Linked DNA regions of Daphnia pulex. Each later gene encodes a partner of the first gene's protein in a complex. Links are inferred from orthologs where the notes say so. Each region holds a gene or a part of one and is shown in the gene's direction. Other genes may lie near its edges. The genes, in order: serine-threonine kinase receptor-associated protein-like, gem-associated protein 2-like and gem-associated protein 5-like.

Region 1 (3,532 bases):
ACAAATGTTAAGGTTAACACAAATTAGGTACGTATTGAAATTTTACATTACATCTTCGTGCATTTGAGAAACACTTTGTAGCTAAAATTGACAGCCAGAGCCAAGTCAGCACCTTTAATAAATAGCCTACAACTCTAACAAGTCGAGTATTGGTTTCCATGGTTACTTATGCCATGGTGTTCCTGGTGGTGCTTCAGGACAACTAAATTTTACTTTTCGCAGAATGGTTACCTCTTAGTCTCTTACCTGAGCAAGGTAAACTGGGTTTAAATAAGGCTTATTATATTTGACAAATTACAATAATTTATAGTTTTAGCTACGATTTATTTGCTTAACTCATTAACTGTCGTTTCAGTGCTACATAGATAAAATCGAAATATCACTATATTTTCATTAACACCGTTTACTCATTTTGTCATTTAACGCCCACTTTACTAGGCTACCAATTACTTTAGTTCTAATAATGAAAAATTTTCTTGATGTTCCCTTGAAACATTGTTTGCGATTTTTGGCATAACAAATATTTGGGCTGCTTGTACATTTTACACATTCAATATTTGTTTAGCGTTTTTCTAAAAATGAAAAAATTTAGCTGAGAAAGCAAGAAAGTACTAAATGATACATTCAGAATTAAAAAATGCAATTGCGTTTTAGCCGTTTACACCTTACAGTATATTTTAACAGTTAAGATTTGTCCGCTATGATTTTCCGCACAGTGTTTCATCCGATCCCTAGTAGCCTAGCCTGTATAAGTACAGTTAGGGAAACCGGAAGCTCTTGTTTTTGTGCGCACCTTTTGTGTATAGCAACCTTTAGCTTAATTATGTCTACATAATACTCAGACAGTTCTTGTAGTTCTTTTTTTAATAGTAAAAGTTTACCATCCGCTCAATAACGCCACATGACGTACGTTTTAACTATAAATCTATAATTCTTTCTACGTCAACAAAATGAACTTTTTAAAGGCTAAAATGCAGCCGTACAATACCCATGAACGGTACAGTAATTAAATCACATTAGATTATTGTGATTTTTCCCAATGAAAAATCTATGTGATCGGCCCAGATCACACTGTACGTCGTTTACCTTTTTAACCACGCATTAAAATCGGCTCAGAAAGGATTGATTTTGCGTGCTGAGTGTGAATAATCAATTGGGGGCATTCTACTTAAAAAGTGAGTTGACGTCACTCTTGCACAATTGCATAAGTCCTGCATTGCTATCGGTATTGGCCACAGATGGCGTCAAATGCCGGGATAATTTTCCCTATGATCCTAGTGTTCTGCAGTCGGCAACACCGACAACCGACAACCTGCTAAGTTAGCCAAGGGGCTTTAATTTACCATCAATTCCCCAATTTGTGGCTTCTTTTGTAGTTTGACTGCCCGATCAAGTAATTCCCATCTCGACTCTGACCGTATTAAATAACCAAATAACTTTGGGATAATGGCAGTTCCTACTACATTACGACAAACACCCTTAACTTGCAGTGGACACACTAGGCCTGTCGTTGACTTGGCTTTCAGCGGTTTCACGGAGAAAGGTTACTTTCTTATATCAGCATGCAAAGGTATTTGTTAATATATTTCATTTCTTAGTTTATCCATTAACCGTTATAGAAAAATGTAGATGGAAAACCCATGATGAGGCAAGGAGATACTGGTGACTGGTTGGGCACATTTGAGGGCCACAAGGGAGCTGTATGGGGAGTTGCTTTAAGCCAAGATGCCAGCAAAGCTGCATCAGGTGCTGCTGATTTCATTGCTAAAGTCTGGGACGCTGTAACAGGGGAAGAAATATATTCCTTCCAACATCAGCATATAGTCAAATGTGTGGCCTTTTCCCCAGACGGGAGCTTGCTTGCTACTGGAAGCAATGAAAAGCTTCTTCGCATTTATGACTTGAATAATCCAACTGCTGGTAAATAAAGTACTTCAAAAATTATTTAAGAAACACAAAACATGAAGCTTCTCTTTTTTTTAGATCCATTCATCATATCTGGCCATACCTCTGGATTGAGACATATTGCATTTCTTGGTAAGGGAGAGAAGATAGTTAGTTGTGCTGACGATAGAACCGTTAGATTTTGGGAACGTTCAACGGGAAAGGTACAGACTATTTAATCTTTTTACGTCTTCTCAAATTAAAATTGTTAATATTCCGTTTACAGGAAATTCACCGTATAGATTTTACCTCGATCCCTAATGGCATTGAAGTTTCTAACGATGATTCCATATTAACGGTCGCTAGCGGGAACACAGTCAGCTTCTGGAATACAACCAGGTAAACGACAAATAGGTTTTCATTTTACATACTTTGCTTAATAACTTCTTGTTGCAATCATCAGCTTTGAAAAAATAAAAGAATATCAAGTGCCTAGCCAAGTCCATTCGGCCTCATTACATCCTTCACGCTCAGTCTTTGTATGCGGTGGCGAAGACTTTAAAATGTATAAAATGGATTATTCCAATGGACAGGAAATAGAATCGTTTAAAGGTAAATCTTGTCTATAGACAGTAGTTGTGTTTATTAACAATATCTTTTTTTTTAGGTCACTTTGGCCCAGTTCATTGCGTCCGTTTTTCTCCCGATGGTGAATTATACGCGTCAGGATCAGAGGATGGAACCCTTCGTTTATGGCAAACTACCGTTGGTAAATCCTATGGTTTGTGGAAGTGTAGCAGCGATACTCCTACTTCATCCGAAATTCTGTCTTCACCTGCTAAAACCGAAACTGTGGCATGAAGTGGAGCAGAGGAAATGACCAAGTTATATTCCTTTTTGTTCCCAGTTATAACCTCAGTGATCTTATTCACACCACGATAACAGTGGTCACTCGACTTGTAAAGACGATATCATTTTTGAGCCATCAGGAAATACAAGGAATCCATCCATTCCTTAAACTTAAATACAAATTTCGAAAAGGCAAAGACAACACGGTTCAATGTGAAGCACGAATTAGGTATACAGTAGGCGTAAATCCAGAAACAAAAACTCTTATAAGAATTATTTCGAACGCTTGTTAGTTAGATCTTCACTTTGACATCTGGGTGTAATGGCTTGCTTGCTCGACGATTACGTGATAAACCTAATCGAATTCCTGTTGAAGGAGAATTTGAATTTCCATTTGAAAAAATATTTGCACCACCGCCGGCTTTACCTTTGAAATAAAAAAGTTCAACACTTGAAAAGTAATTAATTGGCTTGTGATTGATTTACCTGGTGGTTTCCATTTCACTGCAACCCTCAATGGCGGACTAGGTGGCTTGAAGATGTGAACAGGATCTTGTGTAATTTGGGTGTTCTTGGAAGGTACCGCTTCAAAACCTCCGAGTTCGTCGTTTTTAGGAAGGCCGTTGTCGACTATCGTAGAATGAATTATTCCTGTGGGTTTCGATGAATCACATGATTCATCTCTACATTGCTTAAGATTTGTCACATCTCTTTTCGAGTTCGTCTCAGGCTTCTTTTTTAATTGCAGTTTTTGTTTCAGGACTTTCGTTGCCTTTTTGGCAGTTTTGGTAGGAGATAC
Region 2 (3,075 bases), on another chromosome or scaffold:
AATGAAATCAGGAAACCAGCCTTGATCAAAGGGACCCTCACAATGAGCTCTGCATTCTTCTTCTGCTTGCAAGTATTCTACCAAGGAAAGCTCCATGTTGGTTGTAGTTCTGTCATAGTCCTTCTTTTTGTAGGATTCACTGCCACGAATGTAGAATTCAACATAGGGTTTAGCTTCAAGGTTGATGACATAGTTGGGATCCACTTTCAATTCATTGATGAAAAATCTAAGATTTTCTTTCATCACAGTATGGTTTAAATTCATAGTTAAGAAAGTGTAGGCACAGGAAGCTGCCTTGATATTATCGTTGGTCTGAAATAATCCAAACACAAAAGTTTAAGTAAATAATAAAGAAAATGTGATGTAGGATACTAACCTTGAAGTAGCAAAGCTGAAGATAGTCATAAGGTTTCAAAGTGTCAAAATCATCTGTTTAAAATGTAAAAATTTTTAAAAACAGAAAACATATTTGATGAAGATAAGACTGTCTAACCTGCAACTTTACGGTCAACAATTTCTGCACGGTTCTTCAAAATATCTTTCTTGCATTTCAGTAAGCAAAGTGTCTTCTTTATCATCTTTTCCCATAATTTCATATCTTCCAACTGTGGAGACACCAACGGTTTGTCAAAAGATTCCTTGAGACATTCCAATCGACAGCCCACCACAGCATCTTTGTAAAAATGATAATCTTCAATGGCTTCGTTCATACGCGTGACGCACTCATCCCATTGCTCATTTAGATATGCTTCTACTGCCTGGCTGTAAAGAATATCGTACGAATTGGCAGGATCAGCTTTTGTAGCAGAGCAAAAGTAAACCAAGAGGGACAAAAAACAAGCTTTAAACAACATATTCTTACAATATATAATAAGGCTTGACAAAATAAAATAACATGGGCAGACTATGGAGCTATGGAGCAAGGGGAGGTTATCTTTGTGACTGCTCCACGTTAACAGTCAAGATGCCCTATGCAAAGAAGAGGGGTACATATATGCGTGAGAAAACATCTGTTAAAAACCTTAAACAAATTCTCGTGTTTCAATGTTTTGACTTAAAAGCAACATTGCCAATTATGAATAACGCAATCATGAAATTAATTAATCTTGAATTCTTTCAAATTTGAATTATATTTTTCAATTGCTGGTGGTTTTTTAACCGTGAATCGTGAGATGACAGGTAAGTGCAATAATTTAAATTTTTAAGTAAATAGAGCTGACAAATTAAAGTGATGTAGATGTCGCTTGCGTCTGAGCAAATAGTGGCGCAGAACCGCAGACGACAACTTAAACTTCAAAACAAACAACTGAAATCATTTGTGAAATTCCAGGCATGGATGAGTTCCTCCATAAAGCGCTTTACGTCGAGGAAACAGACGAGGATATCGATTTTGAGTCTGCGCCCAGTACAGGCCAAGAATACTTGAGAAGAGTTATGTAAGTCATGAAAACTTGTGTGTTAATAAATTGTATCACTATAAATTCATGCTGCCGGTTTATTTGGATAGAGTCGAATCGCGAAAATGCGAAGCGGTTGTAGTTGCCGATATGAAAGGAAAGAAGCTCAAAGCCCAAACTGTCAAATACACTACGGTAAGTTTCATTTTATTCAAATTTATTGATCTAGTCTGTCATTTCTGTGTAAATTCAGGACTCTGGCTGCCCACCTGCACCAGAAGTTTTCCTACCTTCAAAAGAATGGCAACAATTCCAAGTCTCTCAGTTTTCCTGCCTCAGGAGCCGCATGGCAAAACACTTGGCCAGGCTGAAAAAACAAGGAATTCAAATGAAACCGAATACAACCCTGGTAAGATCTTTGCTGTTGCAATGGCTTCCAGATAAATGAGTTTGGTCTTAATTATCCCTTCCAATTGTAGCCTGCTGGAGACAAAGAAAAGGAATGGTCAGTGTTGTGCTATGGTAACCCTGAGGATGAAAAGCCTTGTGGAACACCACCTATGCTCCCCATCATTTTATCCCTCAACCAGGTATATGAAAGTCACCTACTTCTCAGCATTCACACTATTATTTCTGTTGATGCAGTTTATGGTGGAGACTCTACTAGAGTACAACGTACAATGGCTGGAGGAGACGAATTTTACTCAGCAAAGGGGTCAGTGGCTCTACGCTCTACTTGCCAAATTGGAGAAACCTTTGAAACCCGAAATGTGTAGCCTCATCAGAACACTGGCACGTTTGTGTAGCACATTCCGAGTTCAATTAACCTCGGTCGACGACCCGCTGTTGGCCCAGCTCAATCTTTTCATATGTCTAGTCGGTCGTTACTTTGATCAAAGTGATTTAGCCGATCCGATGAAATGATTTAAACGCGAACAACGAACATTTCTGGTAACACATTTCCCGCATTGTATTTTTATTTTATTTTTCTTTTGCTCGCCATTTTGTAAGAAATAAAAAATGACTGATGGTAAATATAGTAAAGATCGTGGGTGAATAAGAACATGCATGTGGCTGATGGTATTACATTTAACACTTTTTTTGTTTTTTATTCGGGAGGGATAGGAAGAGGAGCTGAGTTGCATTCGTTTTTTTTTTCTCCCCCATTTTTCAGTGATGGCAAAAGTGGTGGGTGAAAATAAGAAGATTATAGCAGTTACATGTATAATAGCTGGAGGAAGAAAGAATTGAAGGGAAGGTCGGACAGAGATTTTAGAATTAGAATTTGCGTGTGTTTCTTCACAATTCCATTGATTCAACAGTATATAGAGATACGTTAGAAAAATTTGAACTTTCCCATCGATTGAACGAACCAACACAGGAAGGAAACGAAAAAGTGTAAGGAGAGGCGATGCCAATATATTTCTTATATATATTGTTTCTTTTTTATTCATTTTTTTGTTTTTTGTTTTGTTTTATTTACTGCATCCAATCTCCTCCGTTGTGTTCTCCTTCAGCAGATGAAACTGTCGCAAAAATTCAATATTATATCATGAAACATTTTTTCTTCTTTTTTAAATATTGAAAGTGTGAATGTGACATCTGGGATCGACGGCGGAGGAGAAACTCGACAAAGTAAAAACGGATCCGACAAAAAGGAAAAAAACAAAAAAACACG
Region 3 (4,316 bases), on another chromosome or scaffold:
CGATTGTACTTTTGCGGGCCTTTCCACAGTGTGATTAATTCGTAACAATAAATTGAGATGACCTGATACGGGCGTCTATTCTTTTCACAATCAAATTTTTCCTTTTTGTAGCAACAAACAAATTAACTATTGATAGACAGGATCACTCGGAACGCAGCGGACTAGAAAAATGACAAGAATGATTTGAAAAGGTAGGAATATCGTAATGGCAATCCCAATTGCGGTTATTTTGGCGAAGAGGGCATCGACCGACTTCATCATGCTCGAGACACAATCCTGTAAAGTGAGAATTAAGTTTAAACTAAATTTAATGTAACTGATTAATAATAATATTTAATTACTTCTTGGTATATATTCTTCAGATAGGAAGTGTCGCATCCTGATTTAACGCAACAGGAATCAGGAATGAATGAATATCCTGCTACGCTGTTCCAGTCCTTGTAGCTATCAACGCCACAACACTGGAACTAAACCAAGCGCTTTATCACGTCAGCCGACTAATTTCCAAGTAAACTAATTTACCATTTGTTGGGTGATATCCATTCCAGTTTTCCCACTTCCGTCGGGATCGAAATACATCATTTCGCGCATAGACTCTCTAATGTCTTGCTTGACTTTAGTACCGAAATCAGGACCGAACGCCACCAAAAGTCCAACCATGGCAATGAACAACAGTACGAGGAAACCTGCATACTGTCAAGTGTCAACGTCTCTTTAATACGATTCACTACGGATACAGATAGGGAGAAAGAAAATTATTTTTATTTTACTCACTATGTAGTAAAAAACAGAACTGCCGTCAATAGTGAAACAACAGTTAAGCGTCGTCATAACGATCAGTATGACTCCTATGACAACAGCAAGACTTCCGATTTTCAATTCAGCCGAGAGTATGGATGTTAGCCGAGTAGATTCTTCAGCTAGTCCAAATCCAAGTAAACACATTCCGAGAACCTACCATGTTTCGTAATAATTACTTGTGTCACTCATTGATTGCAATGAGTTTTCGTAAATAATAAAGAATTAAGCGTACCAGTAATAGAACATTTATGAACAAATGTAGAAATGCACAAGCGAAACTGCATCTTCCGGTCTCCATATTGCTCACTGAAACTCTGGAACATGACAAACAATATCAGCCTACATTCACACATCTATCGACGTTTATGAGCGTAAGCTATTCTTCGAAATAAGTGACGAATTCCTTTTGACGCGCACATTTCGAACAAGGTTCGTTGATTTCTGATTTGATGAGGAACAATTCGAGCTACCCTTGGAAGCGGCCAAGAATTGTTTTATTTTATGCAACACGAAGGATCGCTCATGATTCATAATAACGAATTTTTTCTGAGCGTTATTTAAAGAATTATTACAACTTCTTAACTTATCCCATCTCAAAAATAAATTATGTAATATCTGCTTTTAGTAAGGTTTACTGTTTAGCACCACCTTTGTCGTCTGTGCACGTTGTTTTGAAATTGTTCGCACATGGTGCGTATATGTAAGATTTAGTTTTCAACTTAAAGAAATTGTACAAGTTAAACTTGTAGGATGACAGAAAATAAAAAAGAGATTGTGATTCCTCCATCTCCAAATTGGTATCTGAGTGGTGCTTTTGAATGTCACAAAAAGTCTGGAGTATTAGTTTATGCTGCTTCGCGATGCCTCGTCTTTGTGAAATCTTGTAATGTAGGAGATAATTTCAGTTATCCTACAACTAATGTCATCCCGGACGCCCACAGGAATAAAATTACTTGTTAGTTTAGCATAAACTTCCTTAGGTTCACTTTTCAATTAATCGGTTTTGTTTTCATATGAAGGTGTGTCTTGGTATCAGCCCTCAGAAGAGAATAATTTGTTGCTGAGTAGTGCTGGAGAAGATGGTTCTATTTGTATATGGAAATATAATGATTTGAGTCTTGTATTTGAACAAAATGCACATCAGGTAATATTTGTAAAACATATTGTCAAGCTACAAATCTAATTTGACATCTTTTTCTAGGAGCAAAAAATTTCTTGTCTAAGTTGGTCTTCTCTACTGGATAAGAAAATCTTGGCATCATCAAGTGAAGATGGGACCATCATAATAACAGAGCTACTATTGAGCTATGAGAGTTGCAGCACTCGGAAGCTCAATTATGGGAAAATAAACCCTCTTATGCTGTCATTCAATCCCCACATTCCATGGCAGCTGGCCATTGGCTGTAAAGGTGGATTGCTGTACATATGTGATGTTAGAGGTAATGATTCAGTACTTGCTCTAACATTATCATGATTTTTCATCACACATATCATTGATTTCATTTAGAAAACCGTGGTATAATTCATAAACTGCGAGCTCACGAAGATGTAATAAGTTTAACCAGTTTTGCGTTTTCCCATGAAGTGTCGTCATTAATTCACAACAAATTCTTTTAGGATCTACACAACATCGTTTGGTGCCCTTTGAAAGGAAATGTATTTATTTGTGAAAAAGAAAAGAAGGAAACATTCTTGGCGACTTCGGGCCGAGATAAAACTATTAAAATCTGGGCCACTAACGAAGGAAAATGTGTCAGCCAATCAAAACTTCCTGGCAATACTGGAGTCCATCGCCCTCGGTCTACTCAGGATGATAAACGTGCGACCTGGGTAGCCTTACATTGGCTAAACGAAAAACATATTTTGAGCAGTGGACTCAGTGGTGAACTTATCTTGTGGGAGGTCAGAATTTTAAGTTAAATTTTTATTTGCATGAATTTAATCAATTTGTTTTGCTGTAGGTTGGGCCCAAATTGTCTTGGAAGATCGTTCACAAGCTTCACAGCCGTGGACTCTTCAATATTTCTTCATACATGACTGGAGAAAACCAGGAAATGATTTGGACTTCGGCGCAGGATCGTAATGTTATTCTTTGGCCCATAGTGGAAGGCCACGTACCAAAAGAAGTGTTAGGCATTCAAGAAATGGAGAATCCGCATCTTTGTATGCCAACCATGGGTGGTTTCATCTACGTCATGAATATCAATCCCATCGATTCATCCCAAATGGCTGTGGGATTGGGAGACTGCTCCATCAGACTATGGAATATGGCAGCTGCGAAACCTGACATGATGATGCTGTGGAATGGAATCAAAGGTGATGAATATATAATCTACTTATGCAGTATAGAGAGTAAAATTGCAATTCAATCATAACAGGCAAAGTGAGTGGATTAGCGTGGCATCCGACAATAGAGGGCCGGTTGGCATTTGGAACCGATGAAGGACGCGTAGGAATATTTGACACACTGTCGCTAACTAAACCACCTCAATTGAGTCGCACTTACCACAAGGGTACCGTATACAATTTATCCTGGGCTACCCTGCCGTCTAAGGAAGGGATATTCCTCTACTCTTGTGGTGGGAACAACATTATGGTTCACGATCCATCAGCATTAGATACGGAAGCAAAAAATTTCAATAATTTGATCGCAAGCAAAGGAGAAAAAAATCAAAAGTTCCCTTCGCGTACGGAATTTCAATGGAAAGTGGACTTTTCTCTTCTAGCCGTAGGCAACGAAGACGGTTCTGTGGAAATCTATTCAGGCGGCGATTTATCTTTGCTAACGATTATCGTTGCGCATAAAAAACTTATTCAATGCCTTAAATGGCATCCGCCATTCACTTTCCAAAGTGTGGAACCTTCCAAATTTGAAAACTGGTTGGCAGTGGCTTCAAACGATGTGAACATCAAAGGTACGTGTAAATTTTAACTATCTTGACCCCTTTTGTTTTATTGACTGACTGACGCCTTTTTACTTTTGTTCCAGTTTTTAGCGTCGTCGTTGCCAACAACGACGAACCCGCAACATCCACACTTGCGGCTACTCTAAGCGGTCATAAAGAACGTGTGGTGTCGGTGGCTTGGAGCCCACATGAAGATGGAAAGCTTCTTTCTGCCAGTTATGATGGAACCGCACAGGTAAATCATTCTTAGACTTTTTAATTATACCCTTTTATTTTTACTTGCATTTGCAGGTTTGGGACGTGATCAACAAAGAGCAAGTGGCTAATTTTGGTGGCCATACCGGAAGATTGCTTTGTTGCGAATGGAACGCATTAGAACAGGATACGGCCGTTACAGGAGGAGACGACATGACTATTCGAATGTGGAAAGTTAAAGAACAAGTCTACAAGACACCTGCCGAATCTATTGCAGTCAAAACGTTGAAGGAACGAAAGAAAATACCATACAAACCCCCTCAATCTTCTTCTTTTGTTGGTCGCCATGCAACTTCAAGTGGCACAACTAAAAAGAAGCCACCGAGTAAGCTGAAATCATTGTTCCCGGTTAGC

Evidence for each region.
Region 2: serine-threonine kinase receptor-associated protein-like (region 1) and gem-associated protein 2-like share a complex: the UniProt entries of both Homo sapiens proteins name them as parts of the SMN-Sm complex. The link is inferred for Daphnia pulex from reciprocal best matches to the Homo sapiens genes STRAP and GEMIN2.
Region 3: serine-threonine kinase receptor-associated protein-like (region 1) and gem-associated protein 5-like share a complex: the UniProt entries of both Homo sapiens proteins name them as parts of the SMN-Sm complex. The link is inferred for Daphnia pulex from reciprocal best matches to the Homo sapiens genes STRAP and GEMIN5.

The regions. Positions count from the first base shown.
Region 1 is NC_060026.1:10,623,447-10,626,978, forward strand, and holds serine-threonine kinase receptor-associated protein-like, read left to right. Parts: upstream 1-1,252; 5' UTR 1,253-1,446; coding exon 1,447-1,570; intron 1,571-1,629; coding exon 1,630-1,920; intron 1,921-1,983; coding exon 1,984-2,108; intron 2,109-2,170; coding exon 2,171-2,283; intron 2,284-2,347; coding exon 2,348-2,496; intron 2,497-2,551; coding exon 2,552-2,745; 3' UTR 2,746-2,897; downstream 2,898-3,532. Other genes in the region: intraflagellar transport protein 43 homolog, read right to left, coding at 52-63; uncharacterized protein LOC124205018, read right to left, coding at 3,027-3,160, 3,220-3,532. UniProt on the Homo sapiens protein: The SMN complex catalyzes the assembly of small nuclear ribonucleoproteins (snRNPs), the building blocks of the spliceosome, and thereby plays an important role in the splicing of cellular pre-mRNAs.
Region 2 is NC_060025.1:2,087,181-2,090,255, forward strand, and holds gem-associated protein 2-like, read left to right. Parts: upstream 1-1,256; 5' UTR 1,257-1,332; coding exon 1,333-1,436; intron 1,437-1,507; coding exon 1,508-1,592; intron 1,593-1,650; coding exon 1,651-1,806; intron 1,807-1,876; coding exon 1,877-1,987; intron 1,988-2,042; coding exon 2,043-2,321; 3' UTR 2,322-2,460; downstream 2,461-3,075. Other genes in the region: endoplasmic reticulum protein SC65-like, read right to left, coding at 1-312, 377-429, 494-854. UniProt on the Homo sapiens protein: The SMN complex catalyzes the assembly of small nuclear ribonucleoproteins (snRNPs), the building blocks of the spliceosome, and thereby plays an important role in the splicing of cellular pre-mRNAs.
Region 3 is NC_060024.1:12,897,154-12,901,469, forward strand, and holds the start of gem-associated protein 5-like, read left to right. Parts: upstream 1-1,424; 5' UTR 1,425-1,551; coding exon 1,552-1,756; intron 1,757-1,820; coding exon 1,821-1,945; intron 1,946-2,002; coding exon 2,003-2,240; intron 2,241-2,308; coding exon 2,309-2,349; intron 2,350-2,418; coding exon 2,419-2,703; intron 2,704-2,762; coding exon 2,763-3,117; intron 3,118-3,179; coding exon 3,180-3,716; intron 3,717-3,790; coding exon 3,791-3,942; intron 3,943-3,998; coding exon 3,999-4,316. Other genes in the region: CD63 antigen-like, read right to left, coding at 127-276, 342-467, 523-693, 775-954, 1,034-1,099. UniProt on the Homo sapiens protein: The SMN complex catalyzes the assembly of small nuclear ribonucleoproteins (snRNPs), the building blocks of the spliceosome, and thereby plays an important role in the splicing of cellular pre-mRNAs.